Linked DNA regions of Canis lupus familiaris. The protein of the gene in region 2 interacts with the protein of the main gene of each other region in a pairwise test. Links are inferred from orthologs where the notes say so. Each region holds a gene or a part of one and is shown on either strand. Other genes may lie near its edges.

Region 1 (4,080 bases), on a different chromosome or scaffold from region 2:
ACCAAGTTCTCCAAAACCTCACGGGCTGAAGAGTTCAGCTCAGCAAAGCAAATCCCCTCCATCTGCTCTGCCGCCCCGATGCCCCACCCCCTCTTGAGGTCCCTCCGCCTTCCTGGCCTGTCCCCTCCCGCCTTCCTGGCCTGTCCCCTCCCGCTGCCTGCCCTGCTCTGCCTTTTGTCTACCTCTGGGGCTTTTTCCTGAGTACTCACTCTCCTGGGCATCCCTCCCAGCTTCCCCCTCAGCCTCAAATGCCTTTGTTTCTCCGCCCGTGGATCCCCCTACTCCTCAGGCTCCTACTTGGCCAAAAACGCCAACATGATGCACATCTACTCCAAACCAGTTCAGTAGTTTCTTCCTCCCTACATCCTCTCCCCTGACCCTGCCATGCGCACACTGGTGTGGTACAAGGGTAGAAGTAACCCTCTCCAGGGGCGGTATCGGTAAAGGAGGATAAAGGAAACACGGAAGGGAGAGGGTATTGGACATTGTAGATAGAGAAAACAAGGTCTGTATCTGGGGTGGGATGAGAATGCAGATGGAGCAGATACCTGTGTGGAGGACCTTCCCTCCACTGCACCTCTCCACCCCAGGAGCCCAGCAGACACACCTGTGATGTCCTATTCTGACATGGCAGATGGAGATGCTCATGGGTCCCTCCTCTCTGGACATCACACCAGCCCTTCCAGTTTAGATTCCAGTCCTCTTCCCACCCACCCCACCCCAAAAGCCCATGGCAGGCACCAGATCAACTGTGGATGTCCCTGTGTGATCTGATCTGGTGTTGGCGTACAACTCTGTGTATCTGATACCATGTGGATGAAGTTTTCGGTGCGAATAGATCACCCTGGAGGGTGTGTCCTTTCTGGGCAAGGGGTTGGTTATAGAATGGTTGACCTGGAGGAACACTTGATTCCCTCTTTCCTTTAAGAGGAACACAGAACACAGGACCCTCTCACTACAGCTAGGTTTCCTCATGCCCCTTCCCTGTCCTCATTTCTTTGCCACATGGTTGATATGGCATTTCTGCTACCCGGTGGGCTTTCCCCTGCATTCTGGGCCTGGAGAACCAGGGGGGCTAGTCAGCTTCTCTCTGGGGGCCCCAGCACCAGGTCTGTGCTGCCCTGGCCTGAGTTTCCCATCTGGGCTGCTAGAGAGAGGGAGGGAGGGAGGGGAAATTATGGGAATGGGGGGAAGGGAGGCTACCAGAGACCAAAGTCCAAGGGGCCGGGCCCTCGCCTCCCCTGTCCTGTCCTGTCCTTCTGGTCACTGTCCTTCCATGATCCCTTTTCCAGGAGGGTATGTGACCTAGGTCTTGTGCTAAGCAGCTCTCTGGCCTCATTTACTCAACACAGGCACACACACTGCCACAGGCTGACACCGATTCACACACACAGCTACAGAGGAGCGCCCATGAGATCCCGAGACACATGGCCTGGGTGTTTGGGCATTCTGACACACACTCTTGAGACAGCACAAGAGCACAGTGGAGCCACTCGGTACTCACAAAGCAGCAACATGGCTCCAGAAACATCTACGTCTCCACATGCACACATGTAACTGACACGGGCAGTCCCACACACTCGCTGGATTTCAGACATACAAAGACACCTACTCAGTGAAGTCACATGCCATTGCACAGCCCATCGGAGGGCCACACCGCACACCTTGTCAGCTCTCACACGTAGCCCCTCTGCCACTGCCTTTAATCCCACTAGTTACCCCCACTCACATTTCGGGGGGCCTCTAGGAGACCTCTGTGACCTCCTCAACAACCGACCCCCCCCCCAAAGTCGGGCTCCCAGCCCCCAAACGCTGGCCGAATTAATTTCCCAAAGCGACACTCAGCAGGTTCCCTAGGGAAATTAGAGGAAGGCTGGAAGAGAAGCAAGGGCAAAGGGATGGAGCCAGGGAAGGGAGCTGATGAGAGCAAGGACGGCTCGATGCAGTGCCATGCAACGCGAGCTTCGGCTTTCTCGAAGGCTATTCCCGCTCCACCCCCCCTTCCGATTTTTAGGAATCCAAGACTCTTTTAAGTGTGTGTGGTTGGGGGTGGGAGGAAGGGGAGAGGCTGTAGGGGGCTATGGAGAGAAAAAAGAGCTGAAGGCCAGTGGGGGAAGAAATGGTTCTAACGGAAGGAAAGGAGAGGAGAAAAGAGGCAGTGGCCGTCCGAGGAGAGAGGCGAGAGGCGAGAGGCGGCCGGGCCTCGAGGGGAGGGGCCCGGGAGCAGCAGCCTCCCGGGAGAGTCCTGTTTACTCTGGAGAATCTCAAACCGCTTAGCAGAGGAAAGGTGAGGTCAGAATGGAAAGGGAGACGGGGACACGGGGCGCGGACAGGGCGGGCGGGGGAGGGGCGCGGCAAAGTGAGCTGCGGCGCGCTCCGACGGGAAGCGGACGGGGTAGAGGCGCGCGAGCCGGGGCCGGGGCCGGAGCCGGAGCCGCAGCCGGAGCCCGAGCCGGAGCCCGAGAGGGGTGGGGACGGCGGCGGGGGCCGGGCGCGGGCCGGGCGGCGAGGCCGGGGCCGCGGCGCGCGGCGCTCGGGAAGCTAGAGGGCGCTGGCGGGAGCCGCGCGGAGCGGGGTAGGCAGCGCCGGGCAGGGGAGAGGGGGGAGGGCGGAGCAGGGTCCGCCGGGACCCGGCGCCGGGGCAGCGTGGGGCCGTCGGGGGCGGCGTGGGGCCCGGGGCCGCGCGGAGCCCGGGGGTCGCGCCGGGTCCCGGCCGCCGCCGTCCCCGCCCGTACCTTGGCGCTCAACTCGGCCGCTGCCTCCACGCTCTTCTCCGACATGGTGCCGGGGCCGGGGCCGGGGCCGGGGCCGGGGCTGGCGGGGAGCCGGGGTCCCGGGGCCGGGACGGAGGGGCCCTGGACGGCGGAGGGGGGCCGCGGCCGGAACCTGGCGCGGTGGCGGCGGCGGCGGCGGCAGCGGCAGCGGCGGCCGCTCAGCAGGCTGGGTCTCTGGAAGAGGCGGCAGAGGCGCGCGGGGTGGGGCGGGGGTGGGTCTGGAGCGGAGACCCGCAGGGCTGCGGCCGTCCGGAGGGCGGGCGGAAGGGCGGTGCGGGCGGTGGCCGGCGCGCTCCGGCCGCGGTCGCTCGGTCCTCGGCTCGCCGCCCCCGCACAGCAGAGCTGCCGCCGACCAGCCGCTGCCGCCCCCGGGCAGGGAACCCGCTTATAAAGGCGGCGCTGCCCGACGGGAGGGGCTTCCCAGGGGTGGGGCTGGCGGGAGCGGGGAGGAGAGGAGAGGGGAGGGGGATGAAAGCGGAGGTTGGCGAGGTGGGGATAGGAGGATGAAAGCGAGGGGAGGGAGCGCGCGAGAGGCGGGAGGGAGGACAGGACCAGGAGGGGGAGATGGAGAGACTGACGGTCGCGGAGAAAGGAGTGGGGCGAGGAGGTGGGAAGGGGTGGGGTTCCTGCGGGGAGGGACCTCTCCGAATCCCGACCTACCGCCTGCCAAAGTGGAGTCTGTCTTTTGGGGGCGGACTGGAGGGATGGCCAGAATCCTACTGACCCTACCCCCCCCACACACCCCCAAGAAACCCTGAGATTTCGCCAAGGGATGGGGTGGGAGAAGCAGATGGAAAGACCGGGCAGGTATCTGAGAAACCAAAAGCTTAAAGAAGAGGAAGAGGGTGGCGGAGCTTCTTCCACATCACGCTGGCTTTCCCCTCCCGTCTTGCATCTCCTTTCTCTCGGTGGCCCTGAGAGGGGATGGGAGGGCCAAGCGGGCAGCCCACCCTCGGTCCTGCCCGAGGCTGACTTTGGTGAACCCTGCTGGGTTCCTCCCTTCCTGGATCTTTCGGAGAGATCTGGAGAAGTCAGAGGCCCTTCGGGCTCTTTCCTTCTTCCTCCATCCTGGACCGCTCTTATTCGCCCATCTCATCTCACTCATCTTTGCCTGGTCTTTCTTTTTCTCCTCATACCTGCTCATTCATCTGTACCCAGACCCCTCTGTCACAACCATTTGTCCCTTACATCTCTTGTTCATCTGTTGTCTCTTCTCCCTTCCATCTCTGACCTTGTTCTCCCTTCTCCCATACCAACTTCCTCTGTCCTCTGAGTCTGTCACCTGGCCCTGTACCTTTCACTGGTT
Region 2 (3,522 bases):
CTCGGCTTAGCCCACAGCAACCAGAGCGCGGGGATCCGAGCCTCAGGGGCACGGCGGCCTGCCCGCCTCTCAGCGCCTGAGCTCCGCGGCCGAGCGCACCTACCTTCAGCCCGACCACATTCTGTCCGTTCACCTCGCACACGGACTGCTTGGTGAGGAGCCCGTTGCGGGCCGCGGAACTCCCTCTGACCACAGAGACCACCGCGCCTTTCTTGATGACAAAGCCGACGTGGCCCGTGCTGTCCTTGTGCATGGTGACAGTGCGCTGGAACGGCCTGGCGGGAGAGACCGTGAGCCGGGCCTAGACGTGCCTGGGGCCAGACAGGGAGGCACCGGGGGCCTGGCCACTCACCTGTCCCGAACGACCATGGCGATCTTCTCTGCCGATGCCCTCTTCAGCACCCGGTGCGCTCGGTCCGTGCTCCACCCGGCACAGTCTCGGCCGTCAATCTGCAGGATCTGATCCCCAAAGCGCAGCCCCACAAGAGACGCGGGGCTGTTGGCCTTCACCAGCTGCACAAAGAGCCCCTGGAGGAGGCAGGGCCCTGTGGTCAGCTCCCCATCACATCACTCGGAGCCCAGGTCCCTCCGGCTGCTGTTTGCCTCCTGATCGTCTAGGAGCTGGCAGGACAGCGGTCACTCCATTTTCCTGGGGACAAAATACTCCAGGCCACATAGCCAGGGAGCAGCTGGGTAAGATCTCAACCCTGGCTGGAGGCTGCAGCCCCAGCCCCTGGACTGCATGGCTTCTTACGACGGCACTGGTCCCGCCGGCTTCCACCTTCTGCAGACAGCTGAGCTGCCTGGAAGCCAGATCCCTCTGATGGAGGAGAGGGAGGAAGAGAGACCCCGAATGGTAGGAGCCCAGGAGGCACAAGTGGAAGGTCCATTCTAGAACCCAGCACTGACCCTGGGGCCTTAGGGGAGGGAGGTTGAGAAGAAGAGCCTCCGCTTGAGGCTGGGTAAGCCTTGGCTCCCCTGCTTGCTCCGCACCTTCCTTACTGTGGACAGGGCCCGCAGCCCCCCTCCCAGGCTGGTGGGCAATACGTGTGGGAGATGCCCCCTCCTCTCCTGCCCAGTCCTCAGCCCTACCTGGTCAATGGCCCTCAGCCGTAGCCCCGTCTTGCCATGCTCATCTTTGCACAGGTAGATCTCGCGCACCCCAGGCTTGATCTCTGCTCGCCGTGTGCCAAGGCTGTTTCCAGACAGCGGTGCCACCAGCTGGCCCAGTGACAGGCCAGAGCCCACCATCTGCAGACACCAGGGGTCTCATAAGGATGGGGAAAGAAGGATGCAGTGGTCCCTGGGCCCTCTCCCATCCCCAGATCACACTCCTCTCTCAGGGCCTGTTAGGGTGCATGGCTCCGTGAAGCCACTAGGAGGCATCAAAGCCTATACCCCCTGAAAAACAGCCAGGAAAATGAGGGGAAAGAGAATGGGTATACAGAAAAGAAACCCTCATTTTGGTGTCAGGAGAAGACCCCTTCGAAATCCAATTAAAAATAAAATTTCACAGCAAATAGCAAGCAATTAGGGGGAAAAAGGACTTGATTTGTTTTGTCTTGAAAAAAAATGTAAGCAAAAAGTATAAAAACGAGTGCTTTCCCCGTAAAGCCCAGAACAAGTCAGGATGTCACTCTCACCACTACTCTTAAATGTGGTACTGGAATAACTACCCAGAGCAATAAAGTAAGAAAAGGAAATAAAAGGCATACAGACTGTAAAAGAAATAAAATGGTCCCTATTTGCAGATGATAGGATGATTTACTAGGATATTCCCAGGAATCTACAAATAAACTCTTAAAACTAAGTGACTTCAGCAAGGTCACAGGATACAAGATCAACACACAAAAATCAACTGTACTTTTTATACACTAACAGCATACACATGGAAACTGAAATTAAAAGTACACTACCAACTATAATTACTCAAAAATAAAACATAGGAGTAGGTGTACAAAACATATGTAGGACTTGCATACTGAAAACAAAAACAAAAAAGTGGCTGATTAAAGATATCAAAAAATATTTAAATAAATGGAAAGGAATTTTCTATTCATGAATTAGAAGAACATAATAAAGCCATCAATTGCCCCAAATTGACATAAAGATTCAATGCCATTTCTATCCAAATCTTTACAAGATGTCTTGTAGATGTAGGCAAGGTTAATCTAAACTTTATATGAAAAGACAAAGGAGGGACACCTGGGTGGCTCAGTGGTTGAGCGTCTGCTTTGGGTCAGGGCGTGATCCCAGGGTCCTGGTATCAAGTCCCACATCAGGCTCCCTGCTCCCTCTGCCTGTGTCTGTGTCTCTCATGAATAAATAAATAAAATATTTTTTAAAAAGAAAGAAAAGAAAAACAAACTATCCATTGAGAAAATGAACAAAACATACGAAGAGCATTTTACTGAAAAAAATCATAGCTGGTAAACAGCACATGGAAGGACATTGAACATCACTAGCCGTGAGGGAAATGCAAATTAAGACCCTGATGAGACATCATGACACACTTATCATAACAGTGAACGTTAGTGAGAAGCTGGCAAAGATGGGAAGAAACTGGAAGAGTGTCGCTGGCAAGAAAATAAAGCAGCAGAGCCACTCTTAAAATAGTTTGGCAGTTTCTTTTCAAGATTCAAACATGCATTTATCATACAACCTAGCAACTGTACTCTTGGACATTTATCCCAGAGAAATGAAAACTTATGTCTGTACAAAAGAACTATACAAAAATATCCATAGTAACTTACTTTGTAACAGCCCCAAACTGGAAAAAACTAAAATGACTCTCAATGGATTCAAAAGTCTTTGGGATGTCCATACCACGGACTGCTACTTAGCAATGCAAGGGGATGAACTAAGGGAGCGGGGGGTGGGGGGGGGCATTGATGGGGATTAAGGATGCAGGTGATGTATGGAATTGTTAAATCACTGTATTATACACCTAAAACTAATATAACACTGAAAGTTAACTATACTGGAATTAAAATAAAATGAAATAAAAACAAACAAATAAGCAAATAAAATGAGATGAGCTATTAATACAGTGAATAACCTGGAAAGGTTTCAAGGGCATTATGCTGAGTGGAAAAAGCCAATCTGAAAAGGCTACACGCAGTAGGATTCCATTTATATAACATTCTGAAACAAAATCATGGAGGCAGAGAACAGACTAGTGGTGGCCAGGGGGTTAGGGATGGTCAGGGGGAGAGAGTGGGCATGACCACGAAGGGCCGGCCTGGGGGAGACCTTTGTGGGGACGAAACAGTTCGTGCCTTGGTTGCACTGGTACTTACATGAGTCTATCTATACAGGTGACAAAGTGACACAGGACTACAGACGCTCACTGTACCAACGTAAAATGCCCGTTTTCCTTATCCTGTGGTTCTGCAGCCACTTCCTGCATAACCATTAGGAACACTCGCTGGAGGGTACAGCTTTCTGTGCCCTTCTCTATACTGTCTTTGTGGCTTCCCAGGAGTTCATGATTATTGAAAAATAAAAAGTTAAAAATAAAAC
Region 3 (4,325 bases), on a different chromosome or scaffold from region 2:
CTCCTAAATGGCTTCCTACAGTCCTTGGGAAAATATCCAAATATCTGTCATGGCTTACAAGGTCCTTAAAGGGGTGGAAGCTACCTTGTAAATTAAACTGTAACACGGCAAAATGAATAAGCCCATTAGGGCTAGAAGAGCCCCACTGACCTGTCACATCACTAGCTATCCCTTAATTAGCAAGTGACTTGTTTGTCCCTCAGTATCCTCATATAAAATTGAAATACTATTTTTTTAAATTCTATTTATTTATGAGAGACAGAGAGAGAGAGAGAGAGGCAGAGACATAGGCAGAGGGAGAAGCAGGCTCCATGCAGGGGTGCCAATGTGGGACTCAATCCCGGATCCCAGGACCACGCCCTGGGCCTAAGACAGATGCTCAACCGCTAAGCCACCCAGGTGCCCCCTAAAACTGAAATACTAATGCTCATCTTCCAGTGTGGACCTGGATGGTAAAAGGAGATAAAACCCAATGCTTGACACAGTATGCCACACATCTGATACATAGTACACGCTATTTACACACCTGATACATTAGGAAATATTGGCTACTGTTATTAACTCTCTACTTAGTGTCCCACCTCTCTCCCATGACTATTCTGAGTTCCGCCTATAGGGAGCATCCTTTATTTCCCCTTCTTACACGTTGCCTCTTGCTTGACCCATCCAGCCTATCAGGTGAGTCTTGCTTTACCTGTCAGTCCCATCCATTACCTGGCTGCAATATCCTCTCCTACCACTCCAACCCTCCTGGAATTCTTCAGGACTCATCCTAAATGCCACGTCTTCCAAGAAGCCCATCCGGCCTCTCCCGTTTTCCGTGAGGTGTCCTTCCTATGCGCTCTTGAAGGCTTCCAATGTTCCCCTGCCACACATACACCTGACTTCCTGGTCCTTCCTCTCCACTCCTAAATTCCCAGCTCCGTGTGAAGAGCAACTGTCCTGTTCCCCCATTGCCTCCCCCCTGCCTCACACATTGCCCAGCATGCAGTCAGTAGGCACTTTATTTTTTATTTATTTTTATTTTTTAGTAGGCACTTTAAATAAAGATTGCTCTGTGTGTGCGGGAGGGTATCTCTCCTCTCTCACAAGCCCCTCCCCCCCAACCTCCTCCCAAAATTGTCGTGGTTTGAAAAGCCCAATAGTCCTATAACAGTGATCTGCAAAATATAGGTCAGAAAAGGCTGCAACTGGCACACCTGCGGGGGGGGGGGGGGAGGGGGCTCTGCGCGTGAGCCGCTGCCTTGGGCTCAGGTCGTGATCCCGGGGTGGGGGCGGGGGGGTCGTGGGTTCGAGTCCCGCATGGGGCTCCCCGGAGGGAACCTGCATCTCCCTGTGTCTCTCATGGACACATGCAGTCTTTTCAAAAAGAGACAGGAAGAGGCTGCCACAGTGCAAACTCGGCTCAATAATACCGCGAAGGGCAGGTTGAAACAAAGGGAGGGCGGGCTTCTGAACCGCAGCACCTGAGTCGCTCCTACACTAAAGTGCATCGTGAAGTCTCCAAGCTGTGCGGGGTGCGGGTTGGGATATAATTCTGCAACTAACTCCTGCAACCAGGGTTCCTCGGAAGACAGGGAGCAAACCTGGTTTAAGGAGACGCCCTCCCGACGCTCGTCCTTGCAGACGGGAGAGCTCCGGGGCGCTTACTTGGTAGGTAGGGCTCCCTTACGGTGAACCCCCCCGCCCCCCGCCCCCACCCACAGAACCGAGAGCTTGGAAGGGACCCACAGGCGTCAAGGAGCGAGGCTGCTTTTGCAGATGCACGAAAAGCGGCGGGTGCAGGGCCACCCGGGAGCTCGGGGCACCAGGGAGCCCCGGGGGCCGGGCCTGCGGCTGCCGCTGCACCAATGCCTCCGGCTGCTCGGCTCCGTCGAGGGGCGCCGCCGGGATCCGGTCTTCAAGCCACGGCCGAGGTAAGCCAGCTGCCCCGGACCCCTGCACCCCCGCCCGCCGCCCGGCCTACGGTTACAGCCCCCCCCCCCCCCCCCCCCCGCCCTCCATCCAGCGCAGCTGGAGCTCCGCGGCGCTGCAGGGACGCCGTTTCCGCCGCCCCTCCTTCCCTTCGCTGATTGTTTTTGGAGGAGAAACTTTTTCCTGCAGACCAGACGAACCTGTTCAGGCTACGCCCCCCCCCGCCCCGCCCCGCCCCGCCCGGCGCTCCCCCGCGACCCGAGCGCACCCCAACCTCCCCTGGCCCCGCTGCCTTCCTCGCCGCGACCTCGGGGCCCCGGCGCCGGGCTTCACCTGGGACGGCCATAGCGCTGGAAGACGGCAAGGAGGCGGGGGGAGGCGTCGCAGGAGCCCTGGGCTTCCGAGAGGACCCGCCGCCCGCCTGCAGCGAGGCCCGCAAACGGCGAGGGCGGCCTCTTCCTCCCGCCGGCGCCGCGGGACCGCCGTGACAGTCCGGGAAGGCCGCTGGCGACAGCGGAACCCAAGTCCCGTCGAAGCCGTTTCCGCGGGGGGAGGCCTATTGCAGAGCACACACGGTCCGAACCATTGCCGCCCGCTCCCGGGGGGGGAGCGGAGGGGAGGAGTGAATAAGACCCGAGCCCGTTTACTGAGGTTAAACACCAAGGCTTAGAGATTGCTTTTTTTCAAAAGGAGTACCACAGATTCAATTAATGTGTCGGTTCTTAGCGGTCTTTTCTCTCCCCCCCCCGAGGCTATTGGAATCCCCCCTCCTCGGGATTAGCGGTGCTCAGGTCCAGAAGCGACATGGCGGCGCCCGTGAGGGACTAGTTTGGGGGGTAAAGGTAGTGGCTGGTGTGGCCGTCTTGGGGGCACTGACGCCCTGGAGCGCTCCGCGACCCCCCGAGAGAGGGAGCTGCGCTGGTAGGGGCGGCGGGAGGGGTCGGCCCTCCGGCCTCATTCGCAACCCGGAGCGGAGCCCCGCGGACCGGGCGGCATGAGCAACATCTACATCCAGGAGCCTCCCACCAACGGGAAGGTGAGGGCCTCGCCTGGGGCCGCGGGCTCCTCCGGGACCGCTCGGCCGCCGGGCGTCCCGTCCTCCGCGTCCCCGGGCGCGGCCTCCCACACCGTCTGCGCGCTCCGCCCCGCGGGTACGCGCCAGTCCTCGAGGCCACGTTCCCGCACCTCCCGGCCCGCGGCCCCACTTCTTGCTTCAGCCTGGCTCAGGCAGGGGGGTCCTCTAGGGCCCAGGGGGAAACAAAGTACTCTGAAAACCGGCTTGTTTGTTTATATTTATATTTATATTTACTTGTTTATATTTTTATTTGTTTTATTTGTATTTTACTTATATTTTTATTAATTTATACTTTGTTTATATTTTTATATTTTTATATTTGTTTCTATTTATTTATTTCTATATTTATATTTATGTTTATTTATATCTATATGTTTTATTTTTATATTTTTATTTTTATTTTTAACATTTATTTATTTTATTTATTTTTAACATTTATTTTTAATTTTTTATTTTGATTTATTTATTTTTAATTTTTATTGATTTAGGTTTTACTAATTTTTAATTTTTATCGATTTTTAATTTTAATTTTATTTTTTATTTTTGCGTTTTTTATTTTTATTTTTAGTTTTTAATTTTTATTTCCTATACTTATTTTCTATTTTTATAATTTTAAATTTTTTATTAATTTTTTATTTTTATTAATTTTTTATTTTAATTTTTATTCATTCATTTTATTTTCTAATTTTTATTTTTATTTTTACTTATTTTTAATTTTTATTCTATTTTTATTTTTGATTTTTAACTTTTGATTTTTTTATTTATTTTCTATTTTTTTGTTTTTTAATTTTTATTTATTTTCTGTATTTTTCTATTTTTATTTATAATTTTTGGTTTTTTATTTTTTGATTTTTATTTATTTTTAATTTTTATTCGTTTTTTATTTTTTAATTTTAATTTTTTTTACTTATTTTTAATTTTTATTTTTCTATTTTTATTTTTTATTTTTAAATTTTTATTTTTATTTATTTTTATTTTTTATTTTCTATTTTCATTTTTGGCTTTTAGATTTTTACTTATTTTTTATATTTATTTACTATGTTTATTTTTTATATTAGTTTAGCTATCTATTTATTTATTTTTGGTGTACTTGGGAACTACTCTTTCTCTATTCCTTCTACAACCTTTTATTGAACGCCTGGTGGTAGCCTTGGGCCCTGTACTAGGTTCTAGGGCTGCAGTGAAGGATGAAGGTGGTAGTGGTCGCCCTGGAGGAGCTCAGGGTTTTGTTTGAGAGGCAGGCATGTAAAGAAAAAGCTTTGTGATGCATCTGGTAGGCGCTTGTGGTGAGAGGAGGCTAGTGGTATGGGAGCACTAAAGAGGGAGCAACTGCGGG

Evidence for each region.
Region 1: the proteins of SDCBP2 (region 2) and PTMS interact in a two-hybrid assay, tested with the Homo sapiens proteins (2 studies listed by BioGRID and IntAct). The two-hybrid records come from large-scale screens. The link is inferred for Canis lupus familiaris from reciprocal best matches to the Homo sapiens genes SDCBP2 and PTMS.
Region 3: the proteins of SDCBP2 (region 2) and SREK1IP1 interact in binary tests that used the Homo sapiens proteins (3 or more experiments, as listed by UniProt). The two-hybrid records come from large-scale screens. The link is inferred for Canis lupus familiaris from reciprocal best matches to the Homo sapiens genes SDCBP2 and SREK1IP1.

What each region holds. Positions count from the first base shown.
Region 1 is NC_049248.1:7,821,985-7,826,064, reverse strand, and holds the start of PTMS (parathymosin), read right to left. Parts: upstream 2,873-4,080; 5' UTR 2,781-2,872; coding exon 2,736-2,780; intron 1-2,735.
Region 2 is NC_049245.1:20,194,197-20,197,718, reverse strand, and holds part of SDCBP2 (syntenin-2), read right to left. Parts: intron 1,252-3,522; coding exon 1,093-1,251; intron 529-1,092; coding exon 353-528; intron 276-352; coding exon 104-275; intron 1-103.
Region 3 is NC_049223.1:49,880,547-49,884,871, forward strand, and holds the start of SREK1IP1 (protein SREK1IP1), read right to left. Parts: upstream 2,873-4,325; coding exon 2,792-2,872; exon of another isoform or gene 2,683-2,791; intron 2,471-2,682; coding exon 2,248-2,470; intron 1-2,247. Other genes in the region: spliceosome-associated protein CWC27 homolog, read left to right, coding at 2,909-2,950. UniProt on the Homo sapiens protein: Possible splicing regulator involved in the control of cellular survival.